Arabidopsis thaliana: one gene and its partners. The protein of the gene in region 1 interacts with the protein of each later gene in a pairwise test. Each region holds a gene or a part of one and is shown in the gene's direction. Other genes may lie near its edges. The genes, in order: BEE2, AT1G35560 and AT4G30410.

Region 1 (3,760 bases):
GAAGTATCCATGACTGAAACTCCAGAAGCAACAATCCCTCCCCTAATTGCAAAATCCCTTCTGCTGATTTCACATTTGTTTCCTTCATTGCAAAGATTAAACAGATTGTTCATAATTCAGGCTTAGGGGCACATCTAAATGAAAGGTTGGAGTTGAATCTTACTTGGTCGACAAATTCTAGCAGGAAAGATTGATCTTTTAGATGATGATGAACTGAATAACTCTGTCCTAACAGACGGTGTTAAAGCACATGAAGCAGACATCGATTATTCACAGAGAACAACCTCGTAAAATTTTCAAGGACAAGAGAACCAGATATTTCAGAACTGAGAGATGCAAAAAGGACAAACTTTTTGAGCACCGAGTGTATGTGTGAACTTGCGGGAGAGTTGTGGCGACCCCTGAGCCAGACAAGTCGAATCCGCTCGACGAAGCAGAGTGTTTCTGAAAGTTGCGGTTTTTATGGTTTAACGATTAGGCCGGTAATTTCGACTTAGCTAAACCGGCCGGTTCAGCCGTATTTGTCCCAAAGATCCTGATTTTTTACTCATCATTTTGACAAAAGCTGTCAAGTTGATATTATCAAACAGAACTATTGATTTGTACACAACAAGATATTGAAGCACTCTTTCTTAAATTTCATGTTCTCTAACTCTCTTCCTCAGATCTTGTCTCACTGTTGCATAGGTGTGACATTCTTTTGAAGTAAACAGAAATAATTGACGTGGAATGTGATTCCTGTTATCACATAGATCCATCATTAGTGAAAAGAGCAAACAACACAGTTTTGTAAGTAAGCAAATTAGAGACGTGATACACACGATCTAGGGCCTTATACTTTGATGTGACGAATACGAGTGTTCCTTCCGTTTTCGTGATTCGACAAAATGCCTAATTGCAACATGAATGCATTGACACAAACTTCTTTACAAAAGAATACATCCTGAAACCCATTGAATCAAAAACTTTCTAAAACTTTTTTGTGGAAATTGCAAAAAACAACAGATACTCTCAACGTTAAGTATTTTGGCATTTGAAGCATTTACTCTTCTCATCTCATAAGCAGCTTGTTATTGATGTTTCCCAAAGAACCAATGAAATGGAAACCTCAAAGCAACCTGTACGGTGTGTTATTGAAATCGGTCTAATTTTGGATATATTTTTTCAAGTTCTTCAAAAAAAAAAAATCGAAATAGTATTGATTCTCTTGAATTATGTCACGCATTATAGATAATGTATAGATATATAATTAATAGGGAAAAAAAGAAAGTATAGGGACCAAACACTTAGATCAAAAGCAATGGTGTCGCCTACCTTCCTATCACTTATCTTCAAACCCATTTTCTTCTTTAGGTCGCTTATTTTGTGTCCCTATCAGTTATGAATTATAATATGTGATATTATAATATGTCATATATTCATCGAGTTGCCATCTCTCTAATATATGAAATCCACTTAAATTATTGGTGTAATCTATGGATTGATGAAGGGTAGTAATCATACGTCACAAGGATCACGTATAGATTCACAACAAGACATTGAAATGATATCACTCATGATTCAAACCATTGTTTCTATTCATTTGCAAGTTAAGATTCATAATTCACATTCCCCACATTCTCCACCTTCAAGCCTAAGAAAGACCCTCTCTCTCTCTCTCTCTAACAAAACAAATTGGTACAATTAGAAGGTTGTCTTACCAAAAACTCAATGATTTGATTTTACAAAAGAGGATATTTATATGATAATACCCTCATGAACCTTAAGTTTTACAAAGTTTGATTATTGTTGCCAAACAAAAAGATCCTCTCAAAAACTTGAAAGGCCAAAAGGAAAAAAAAAAACACAGAGAAAAGACACAAAAGAGACTAACTTAAGAGACTCCTCATCTCATGTTCATAAGGACATGACCACATGGTAGGTTATGTCAATTAGACCCCACAACTTCTCATCTCACCTTCTTTGTCCCCAACCTCCTCCACTTTTATCAATTTTGTCCCTCTCTCACTAGATTTCGAATCTCATGTGTGTGGGTCAATGTTGCTTTCTATTTAAAGCTAAGAATAATTATATCTAATGGATTACTTTTCTTCCACACATATATAACTTAACTCTCTCTTTTTCTCTTTTGCTTTAACCCCCTCAAAGAAAAGATAAGAGCCTTTTAAAGTTTTTTTTTTACCTTCTCTTCATGGACTTGTCTGTACTTGATAGGCTTAAGTGGCTGCAACAGCAACAAATGGTTTCACCTGAGTTTCTTCAGATACTTGGCTCAGATGGGAGAGAAGAGCTCAAAAGAGTTGAGAGTTACTTGGGAAACAACAATGATGAGCTGCAGAGTTTCAGACATTTTCCCGAATTCGGACCGGATTATGATACTACTGATGGCTGCATTTCTAGGACAAGTAGCTTCCATATGGAGCCAGTGAAGAATAATGGACACAGCAGAGCCATTACCTTGCAGAACAAGAGAAAACCAGAGGTTTGTAGCTCAAGAAAGTATTGAGTATTAGAGTTTAGATTTTGTTTGAAACATTGTTTCTGATCGTTTTAACTATTGGTTTTAGGGTAAGACAGAAAAGAGAGAGAAGAAGAAGATCAAAGCAGAGGATGAAACAGAGCCAAGCATGAAAGGGAAATCAAACATGAGTAACACAGAGACATCTTCAGAAATTCAGAAACCAGATTACATTCATGTTAGGGCTAGACGAGGTGAAGCCACCGACAGACATAGCTTAGCAGAGAGGGTAATTAACTAAAGTGTTGTTGTTAAATAGGTTTCAGAGAAATTACTTTCATTAGAGATTTGAGTGGTTTTATATTTGTGGGATTTTGGCAGGCAAGAAGAGAAAAGATAAGCAAGAAGATGAAATGTCTACAAGATATTGTTCCTGGATGCAACAAAGTTACTGGAAAAGCTGGTATGCTTGATGAGATCATCAACTATGTCCAATCTCTGCAACAACAAGTCGAGTTCTTGTCGATGAAACTCTCTGTCATAAATCCAGAACTTGAGTGTCATATCGATGATTTATCCGCAAAACAGGTGAATAATAGTCAGTTTTCATCCCAAGAACTAACCAAGAGTTTAATTACCGCATTTATTGACTGGTTAAATATTGGAATCTAGTTTCAGGCTTACTTCACAGGTCCTCCAGAAGGTGACTCGAAGCAGTCAATCATGGCGGATTTTCGGTCTTTTCCATTACATCAGCAAGGATCTTTAGATTACTCAGTCATAAACTCAGACCACACCACATCTCTCGGCGCTGTAATAATCTTTATCTCAGACAAATCTTTCATTAGTCCCAATTTTTTGTTACTTGTCCGTGAAGTAACTTATTTCTTATTCTGTTTTGCAGAAAGATCATACATCATCAAGCTGGGAAACTCACTCACAGTGTCTTTACAACAGCTTGAGAACCGATTCTGTTTCCAATTTCTTCAGCCTCAAGTAAAAAAATTAGGGATAGCCTCATTAAAAAAATCGCGGTTTTTTGTTGTTGTCTTATCCATTTATCTATCTTATCTGAAATTTGAACCAAAAGAGACAGAGGAAACCAATCCAAAGATCTTTCTCAATCTATTATCTTCATACAAATATAGTGATTTACATATATTCCAGGGGATATGTATATGTGTAGAAGAAAGAGAAAAAACTCTTGTGGTCATAGCAATTCCTTTTTTTGTACATTGTAGAATCAAACTCTTGTGGTCGTAACAATTATTTCCTTCACAAATTACAACTACACTTGTATTA
Region 2 (3,760 bases), on another chromosome or scaffold:
ACTCATGAGATCATACCTACACACAAGACCAACCCAAAGCTAAAACCTGTAAAGCATGGGCTTTTTAGGCAGTAGATGATTCTAAAACAATTTAAAAGCACCATTTTAGAGATATATATGGTCGAAGAGTGATTAACACTTTCACTCTCTCACCATTTTATTTTATTTTTAACGTCTTGCCTACACATTTAAAACATTAATTGGTTGATACTTTTATACTTTTTTAAGCAATTAAAATAATTTATTTAAAAATAAATGTATATAAAAAAATATTAATAGTTTATTTCTTAGATACTCAATGAGTCTCCATCCAATGAAGGTGCTCTAACAGAATCTTGAACAAGGCTACATACTATATGGTCTTGTAAATGAACATTTTCACTTTTTGGAGAGAACAGAGACAAGACAATGGACCGTGGGAGGATCCAGAGTTTCAGACCAAACATCACGTTTTTTTATCACTCGCTTCTTGTACTTCTTCAACTATCTCTGACTGTTTTACTGTTTTCTTTCACTGCTAATGCTTACACGTGCATCTGTCTCAACAATTATTTTTCAGGAAAATAAAAAATAAGAGAGATTATATATACAGTTCAAAATATAATTGCATATATATATATATATATATATATAAATTATATAAAATATACTGTTCAAATATAAAGTTTTTTTTATAGTGGTTTGGTTTCACTTTCATTGTTATCTATAATTTAGCTCACGGTGCGTACATGTAACTTACATTAAGAACAGCCAAAAAGCTCAAGCTCGTGTCCAAATTAAGATTCCGAATGGTATAGCTAGCAATATAATATATTATATGGTTTTGGATTGATAAAAACATAAAACCTAATAAAGGAATTTAATTGATATAAAAAATGAAACAATAATACAGTCTAAATATTCAATTATGAATTAAAATATTGCAATAAATCAGTTAATAGGCATTAATACTAATATGATTATACATACATGGTTAATCACTAAGAGCAACGTGAATATCAATAAACTAATTGATTTACTACGCTTGCATAATTATTTTCCTTAAAACTTTTTGATTTCGAATACTTTGTTAACACCCTGATACATGTGCATATAACATAGTAGGCTGAAATTGGACTATTCTTAGACAGTTTTCACATCTAGAATGAGATGTATAGGTTTCGTTGAGAAAAATTGTAGTTGAGATGATTAGTTATATATAACCTATGTCTGTGGGTGCTAATTTGGCAGATGGGAAAAGAATTGAAGCCTTTATATATAGTCTTCAATTATTAGTATCATCGTTAATAAAAACAGTGGTCCTTATCTCTCAACAAGTCTTTCATCAAATTCGGATAACAAAGACAAAATAGAGAATCAAAGAAAGAGACATTTGTGTTATTATCAGTAAATTATTAAAAAAATAAATAATATTAAAACACTATTATATTGGGTGTAAATTGGCTCTATGATTAGTGATTAGTTTTTTTCTTTTCCCCCATAGAACATTCAACGTTTCCCACCCATGCAAAATCCAACCTAAAAGCCAAACTTTATAAGGAAACCAACAAATAGATCCCTACAATCTAAAGATTGCAACAAAAATGCCCCAAAATTATAATCTTAGACAATCCACACCTTTTTCAATCATGTAAAACACTTCCAAACTTTTCATAGTCCATTGCTAAAAATAGTTTTAGTCTCACAAAGTTAGACCAAAATTCAATACATTCGGCGCATAATTATTTTTATACTACAATATAGTAAGTGTGATAATAACCAAACAAAAAAAGGTTAAGTGATCATTTGGTGTGGAAACAGCAAATATTGGTCTCTACTCTCTACTACAAAAACCTAGTGGGACTACAAATGAAAATAAAACACAAAAGAAAAAGAAAGTGAAAGTCTCTCTCTCTTTTCTACAAGCTGCTTCATCTTCTTCCTCTCACTCTCTCTTTCTCCAAACAAGTAAACAACAGTCAACACAAACTCATAGCCCCACCAGAAAAAAAAAATACTCCAAGAATTTATAGGTTATAAGTAAAAATTCAGTACAAGTTTGTTTGTTTGTTTATTCCATTTTCTTGTGTGTTTTTTTCCCCATAATTTATAAATTTTATAAGCAATATGGAGTCCCACAACAACAACCAGAGCAACAACAACACCACTGGTTCGGCCCATCTGGTCCCATCCATGGGACCAATCTCCGGTTCAGTCTCATTAACCACCACTGCTCCAAACTCCACTACCACCACCGTCACCGCCGCTAAAACACCCGCAAAACGACCGTCCAAGGACCGTCACATCAAAGTAGACGGACGTGGCCGGAGGATACGTATGCCGGCTATCTGCGCAGCACGTGTCTTCCAACTAACACGTGAGTTACAACACAAATCGGACGGCGAGACTATAGAGTGGCTGCTCCAACAAGCGGAGCCAGCTATCATCGCAGCCACCGGAACTGGAACCATACCGGCGAATATCTCTACTTTGAACATCTCTCTTCGAAGCAGTGGCTCTACTCTTTCAGCTCCACTGTCTAAATCTTTCCACATGGGAAGAGCGGCTCAAAACGCTGCCGTTTTTGGGTTCCAGCAACAGCTTTATCATCCTCATCATATCACGACAGATTCTTCTTCTTCTTCTCTTCCCAAAACATTCCGTGAAGAAGATCTTTTTAAAGATCCTAATTTTCTAGATCAAGAACCCGGTTCAAGATCACCTAAACCGGGATCCGAAGCTCCTGATCAAGATCCGGGTTCGACCCGGTCAAGAACACAAAATATGATACCGCCGATGTGGGCACTAGCGCCAACGCCAGCCTCCACAAACGGAGGTAGTGCTTTTTGGATGTTACCAGTCGGAGGAGGAGGAGGTCCGGCTAACGTTCAGGATCCATCACAGCACATGTGGGCGTTTAATCCGGGTCATTACCCGGGTCGAATCGGGTCGGTTCAGCTAGGGTCTATGTTAGTGGGAGGTCAACAGTTAGGGTTAGGTGTTGCAGAAAATAACAATTTGGGGCTATTTTCCGGCGGAGGAGGAGACGGTGGTCGGGTTGGTCTCGGAATGAGTCTTGAGCAAAAGCCTCAACATCAAGTGAGTGATCATGCTACTAGAGACCAAAATCCTACTATAGATGGTTCTCCTTGAAAGACTTCATGATTTCTTTGGTTTTTAAAAAGTGTGAATGTGTGATTTATTGCAACTTTTGTTGAGGACTCCAATGTTAATATGGGTTTTAGGGTTGGCTTTTCGGGATTGCCAAATTGTTATTTAAGAAAATGGATTTATTGTTTTGGTTGCATAATAATTAACGAGTTTTGCAACTCTTTTTATTCGATGCAAAAGCATGTCACTTAAAGGAAATATAGTTGAATCTCTATGTGTAACATAATGGACAAAAGAATAAATTAAATATTTATCAGAATGCCTTTTCTCTTTTGTTGAAGGGTATAATTGAATACACCTTCTTTGACCGCTCATATATTTCAAATATTTCGAATTGATTGCAGTTCGTAAAAAGCTAACGAATATAAATAAAAAATTATATGGTGTAGACTGTAGTGATAAACTTTATTGGGTGCATGAGCACCACATGTTTGGATACAAATGGGTTTTTAGATTTATATATTAATTCTCTTTTAAAATTCGTATTTTGTCTATCATACTTTTGTAGTATCTACCAAAAAATTGTCCACTTGTGGAGCAACATGGACACGTCAGAGAGAACTCCTATGCCACAGTAAATTCCAATGTGTTTGAAAAATAGGCTGGACGG
Region 3 (3,760 bases), 2.4 Mb from region 1:
ATTAATTGAAACATATATTGAGGATAAGCTAGAGTTACCATTTCCTATAACTATTCTACTTAGATTAGTACTCTTCGTATGAATCATATGTTACATTTTATATACACTTTGATAAAACTATTTGTTTTACATATAATTCTGTTTTGCATCAATGGACTCTCACTATTGCATCTTGTGAACTCGTCTGTTTTATTCCCCATGATGAGTGATGAAACCATCAGCCACGCCACCAATGATCTCAAACATTATTTTTATATTATAGTTACATCTGTCAACACTCAACAGTAACATCAATGTATTGTTCTGCAATGTCATCTCACATATCTTTTGCAAATTCAAAAAGTACGAGATATCTCTCTGTAGATCAAGACCATTTGGTGTTCTTTGATTCAAGACACTAGAAACAATTTGATTGTACTATAAATCCTCAATTTTTGGAAGTTTATCAACTGTTAGGACAATCGACCTGTCAGTAAATCTGAATTTCTTATATGATAGTAAATGATTTTAAAACATATCACAGCCGTCAATCAGAGAGACTGTGAGAGTCACCGTTGAAAATCACTCTTTGGTGAGTGAAAAAATGTAAAAGTAAAAGAACCAATGGGTAAGGGTCCCTCCACGTGTGCACATGCGCTTCGGTGGACGCGTGCATGCAAGAGTGTTGCCACATTAACGACGTCGTAGAATGTGATTAAGGGCACAAAACATTTTAATCAAAGAAAATTTGACTGATGGTGACGACAATGAGATGGTGGGCGTGTAGAGTTCGGAGAATGATTGTTGAGATTCCCGTAAATTACGGAGGTCCATTGGAAAACAAATCCCCGCACCAGAAGATCCATGTTCGATGTATTTTGTTGGAGAAAAAAAGCTAATTTTAATATCAAAAATATTTCTCTTTCGATAGTTGTATATATTTATCGAACATCAACTTTTATATTCATGTACATCTATCAATATCATTTTTTCGTTTTCTGAATTAAATTGACCAATATAAATGAATTATTATTGTTTCTTTTTCCTTTTTATCAACAATTATTATTGTTTCTTTTTTTCTTTTTCAAAACCAGGCTTTCCCAAAGTTTGCGGATCGCCACGTTTTAACCACTAACACCATATTGATGTTATTTGTTGTATGTGTATAAAAAAAGTTATGGCACAGTTAATGTGTTGACCATGCTTTTCATATTTGATACCTAGTTGTGAATGTATCACTGTGAAGCATCAAAAAGAAGATGAAATAATGCACCGTATAACCAAGGTGTGCACTGTGCAATGCAATGCATCATAAATTTCTCAAATTCTGTTTTTTGTATGTAAATTATTGACGTATAATGGTAAATATGATTAATAGATTCACTCATTGTTCGACAATAATCAAACTGAATATTGCTCGATAATAACTGAACATATTACATTAACAAATTACGCACTCACAATCGTCAGAACCAGCCATTATTCTCAGCTATACATTCTATATCATTTGTTATCTTTTTATAACCTTAGGTGATTTAGGTGATCCAGGTCACGGTAAGTATATATAGATTATAAACTTTTATGGAAGACTGATGACTCAATCTACAACATTGGAGAACCACAACTTTTTAATCTATACTTTACGTTCTTTAACATTTAAATTTCAAAACTGAGATGGACTTTTTTAGTTATTATATATGTTCTAACTAAGTAATGACACCAATTCAAAGATAATCTAGATTATTTAGCGTGCTTATATAGGCCTTTATTTGCTTGGCGACAGCGCTGACTGATAAGGTTGTCAGATAGAGAATTACATGTTAAATCAAATATGTGAACATACATTACATACATATATATACGAGTGATGAGATCATTATATATCACGGATTCACGGAGTGTGAAAAAAAAAACCAAATGAAGCTACGCAGTTGACAGAAAACAAACGAAAGATACACAAAAAATGTTTTTTTTTTCATAAAATCCTCATAATTGCAAAACTTAAAACATCAAAACGTATATATATCATCACAAATTTTCGGCGGAAACAAATAATAATGGACAAAAGTTTCCTAAATTATAGGGTAATACAAAAGGGTACGTGGGCCATTCGTAGCATGTGCATGCATGTGCTTCTCCTATCTCCTATTGCCCCCACCATTTTCCCTCTCCTTTTGAAACAATTAAAATGGACCCTTTCCTTCTCCTTTCTCTCTCCCTTACCTCTCTGTCTCTTTCCCTCTCTCTCGTCGAATTCACGAATTCGTGAGGTGACCGCAGATTTGTTCTTAGCAATCTTTGACGACACTAGAAGTAAACAAATTCTTAAAAAGGTATGTGTTCATGTCTCTTCTGGTTATAATAAGGAACCCTAAACGGGGAAAAAATCCAGTTTGGTTATGATTTGATGTATATTAGTATATTACATACATGTATCCCTTTGATGTATAAAGACATCATGGTTTATTACTTAGGATTAACTTACTTTTTCTTGAAAAATGACTCATAATTGAGTATATTTCTACTTGATTAGGATTTAGGATGCAGCCTACGAGCTCAATGAATGAAGAATTCCTAAAGAAATGGCAAATGGGTCTTCAAATATTCCGTCCTTCGATAGACAACACGAGCGTCCACGAGAGAAAAAAAGCAATAAAGCTCTCTGCAGACGTTGCAATGGCGTCTCTAAGAAAAGGAACAACTTGTTGGAGCCGAGCCCTAATCGAGAAAACCGCCACCGAGGACAATTTCCTCGTACGTCAGATGCTTTCCGGCATCAAAGCGGAAACGTTAATCAACAAGAAGTTGCCTAAGAAGACTGTGTGTCATAGGAAGATCGTGAGGCGAAGCAAGAAGATCTTGAGGAGGAAATCGAAATCAGCGAGCGAAGAGGCTGCAGCAAAAGCTAAGAGACTCGTCAAGAGACGGACTCAAGGATTAAGAAACGTTGTACCTGGTGGTGAGTTGATGAGCAATGACGTCTTGTTGCTTCAAGAAACGTTAGATTACATTGTGTCGCTTCAAACGCAAGTAAATGTTATGAGAAGTATTGTTGATGCTGCCGAGGCCGAAATTGAGAGATAAATGATAAAAAAAAATCTTGTTTTATTTTTTTATCTGCGGAGATTAGTTGCGAAAGCATGATGTCGATCGGATCTTGTTGTTGGTCATTAGAACCGTATGTTATTCGGACAATGCAATTGTCATACGAGGATGGAGAGATATTATAGTAAGCCATTTTGTACATAAGGAAATTTATACAATGCTTATAGAAAGTTTCTGCTACGTGATGGTGGTTTTTATTGGAACATTTCTTGGCAAATTTTTATTTTTTTTGAATTTAATTTAGTTAATGTGAGTGAATTTTAAGATATTTTTAACGCTTCGATTGCTTTTCTTGGCATGTTTTTATTTGAGAGAAAAAAATAGACAAATGTTATTTTATATTATAGATATCTGGTTCAGTTTTATTACAACTCACTCGTATTGGATAGCTCATTTGACATGTCAACCCAAAACAAATGATATATACTAGCTCATGTGAGTTTTTTTTCTGTTTTTTTTTTTCAGATTTTCAATGTTAATTAGCTCATATGAGTTGTCCAATATATATTTGACTCTTTGCTTATGTTTTTTTTTGGGTTAAAGACTTGGTTTGAAAGGATAGTACTAGTCTACTAGAACAAAACAACCAATAAGACAGCACGTGTAAAAATCAGTCTTTTTCGTATATACTCCATGTTTCATCAATCAGCATCATTTAGTATTCAGCTAAGGAAGA

What was found.
Region 2: the proteins of BEE2 (region 1) and AT1G35560 interact in binary tests that used the Arabidopsis thaliana proteins (3 or more experiments, as listed by UniProt).
Region 3: the proteins of BEE2 (region 1) and AT4G30410 interact in binary tests that used the Arabidopsis thaliana proteins (3 or more experiments, as listed by UniProt).

Annotation. Positions count from the first base shown.
Region 1 is NC_003075.7:17,241,508-17,245,267, forward strand, and holds the start of BEE2 (BR enhanced expression 2), read left to right. Parts: upstream 1-2,075; 5' UTR 2,076-2,191; coding exon 2,192-2,482; intron 2,483-2,567; coding exon 2,568-2,747; intron 2,748-2,839; coding exon 2,840-3,046; intron 3,047-3,130; coding exon 3,131-3,271; intron 3,272-3,362; coding exon 3,363-3,458; 3' UTR 3,459-3,760. Other genes in the region: AT4G36530 (alpha/beta-Hydrolases superfamily protein), read right to left, coding at 1-82, 164-263. UniProt on the Arabidopsis thaliana protein: Positive regulator of brassinosteroid signaling.
Region 2 is NC_003070.9:13,115,471-13,119,230, reverse strand, and holds AT1G35560 (TCP family transcription factor), read left to right. Parts: upstream 1-1,995; 5' UTR 1,996-2,106; coding exon 2,107-3,132; 3' UTR 3,133-3,405; downstream 3,406-3,760.
Region 3 is NC_003075.7:14,870,612-14,874,371, reverse strand, and holds AT4G30410 (sequence-specific DNA binding transcription factor), read left to right. Parts: upstream 1-2,104; 5' UTR 2,105-2,520; coding exon 2,521-3,063; 3' UTR 3,064-3,388; downstream 3,389-3,760. UniProt on the Arabidopsis thaliana protein: Functions redundandly with IBH1/BHLH158 in a regulation node known as the incoherent feed-forward loop (FFL).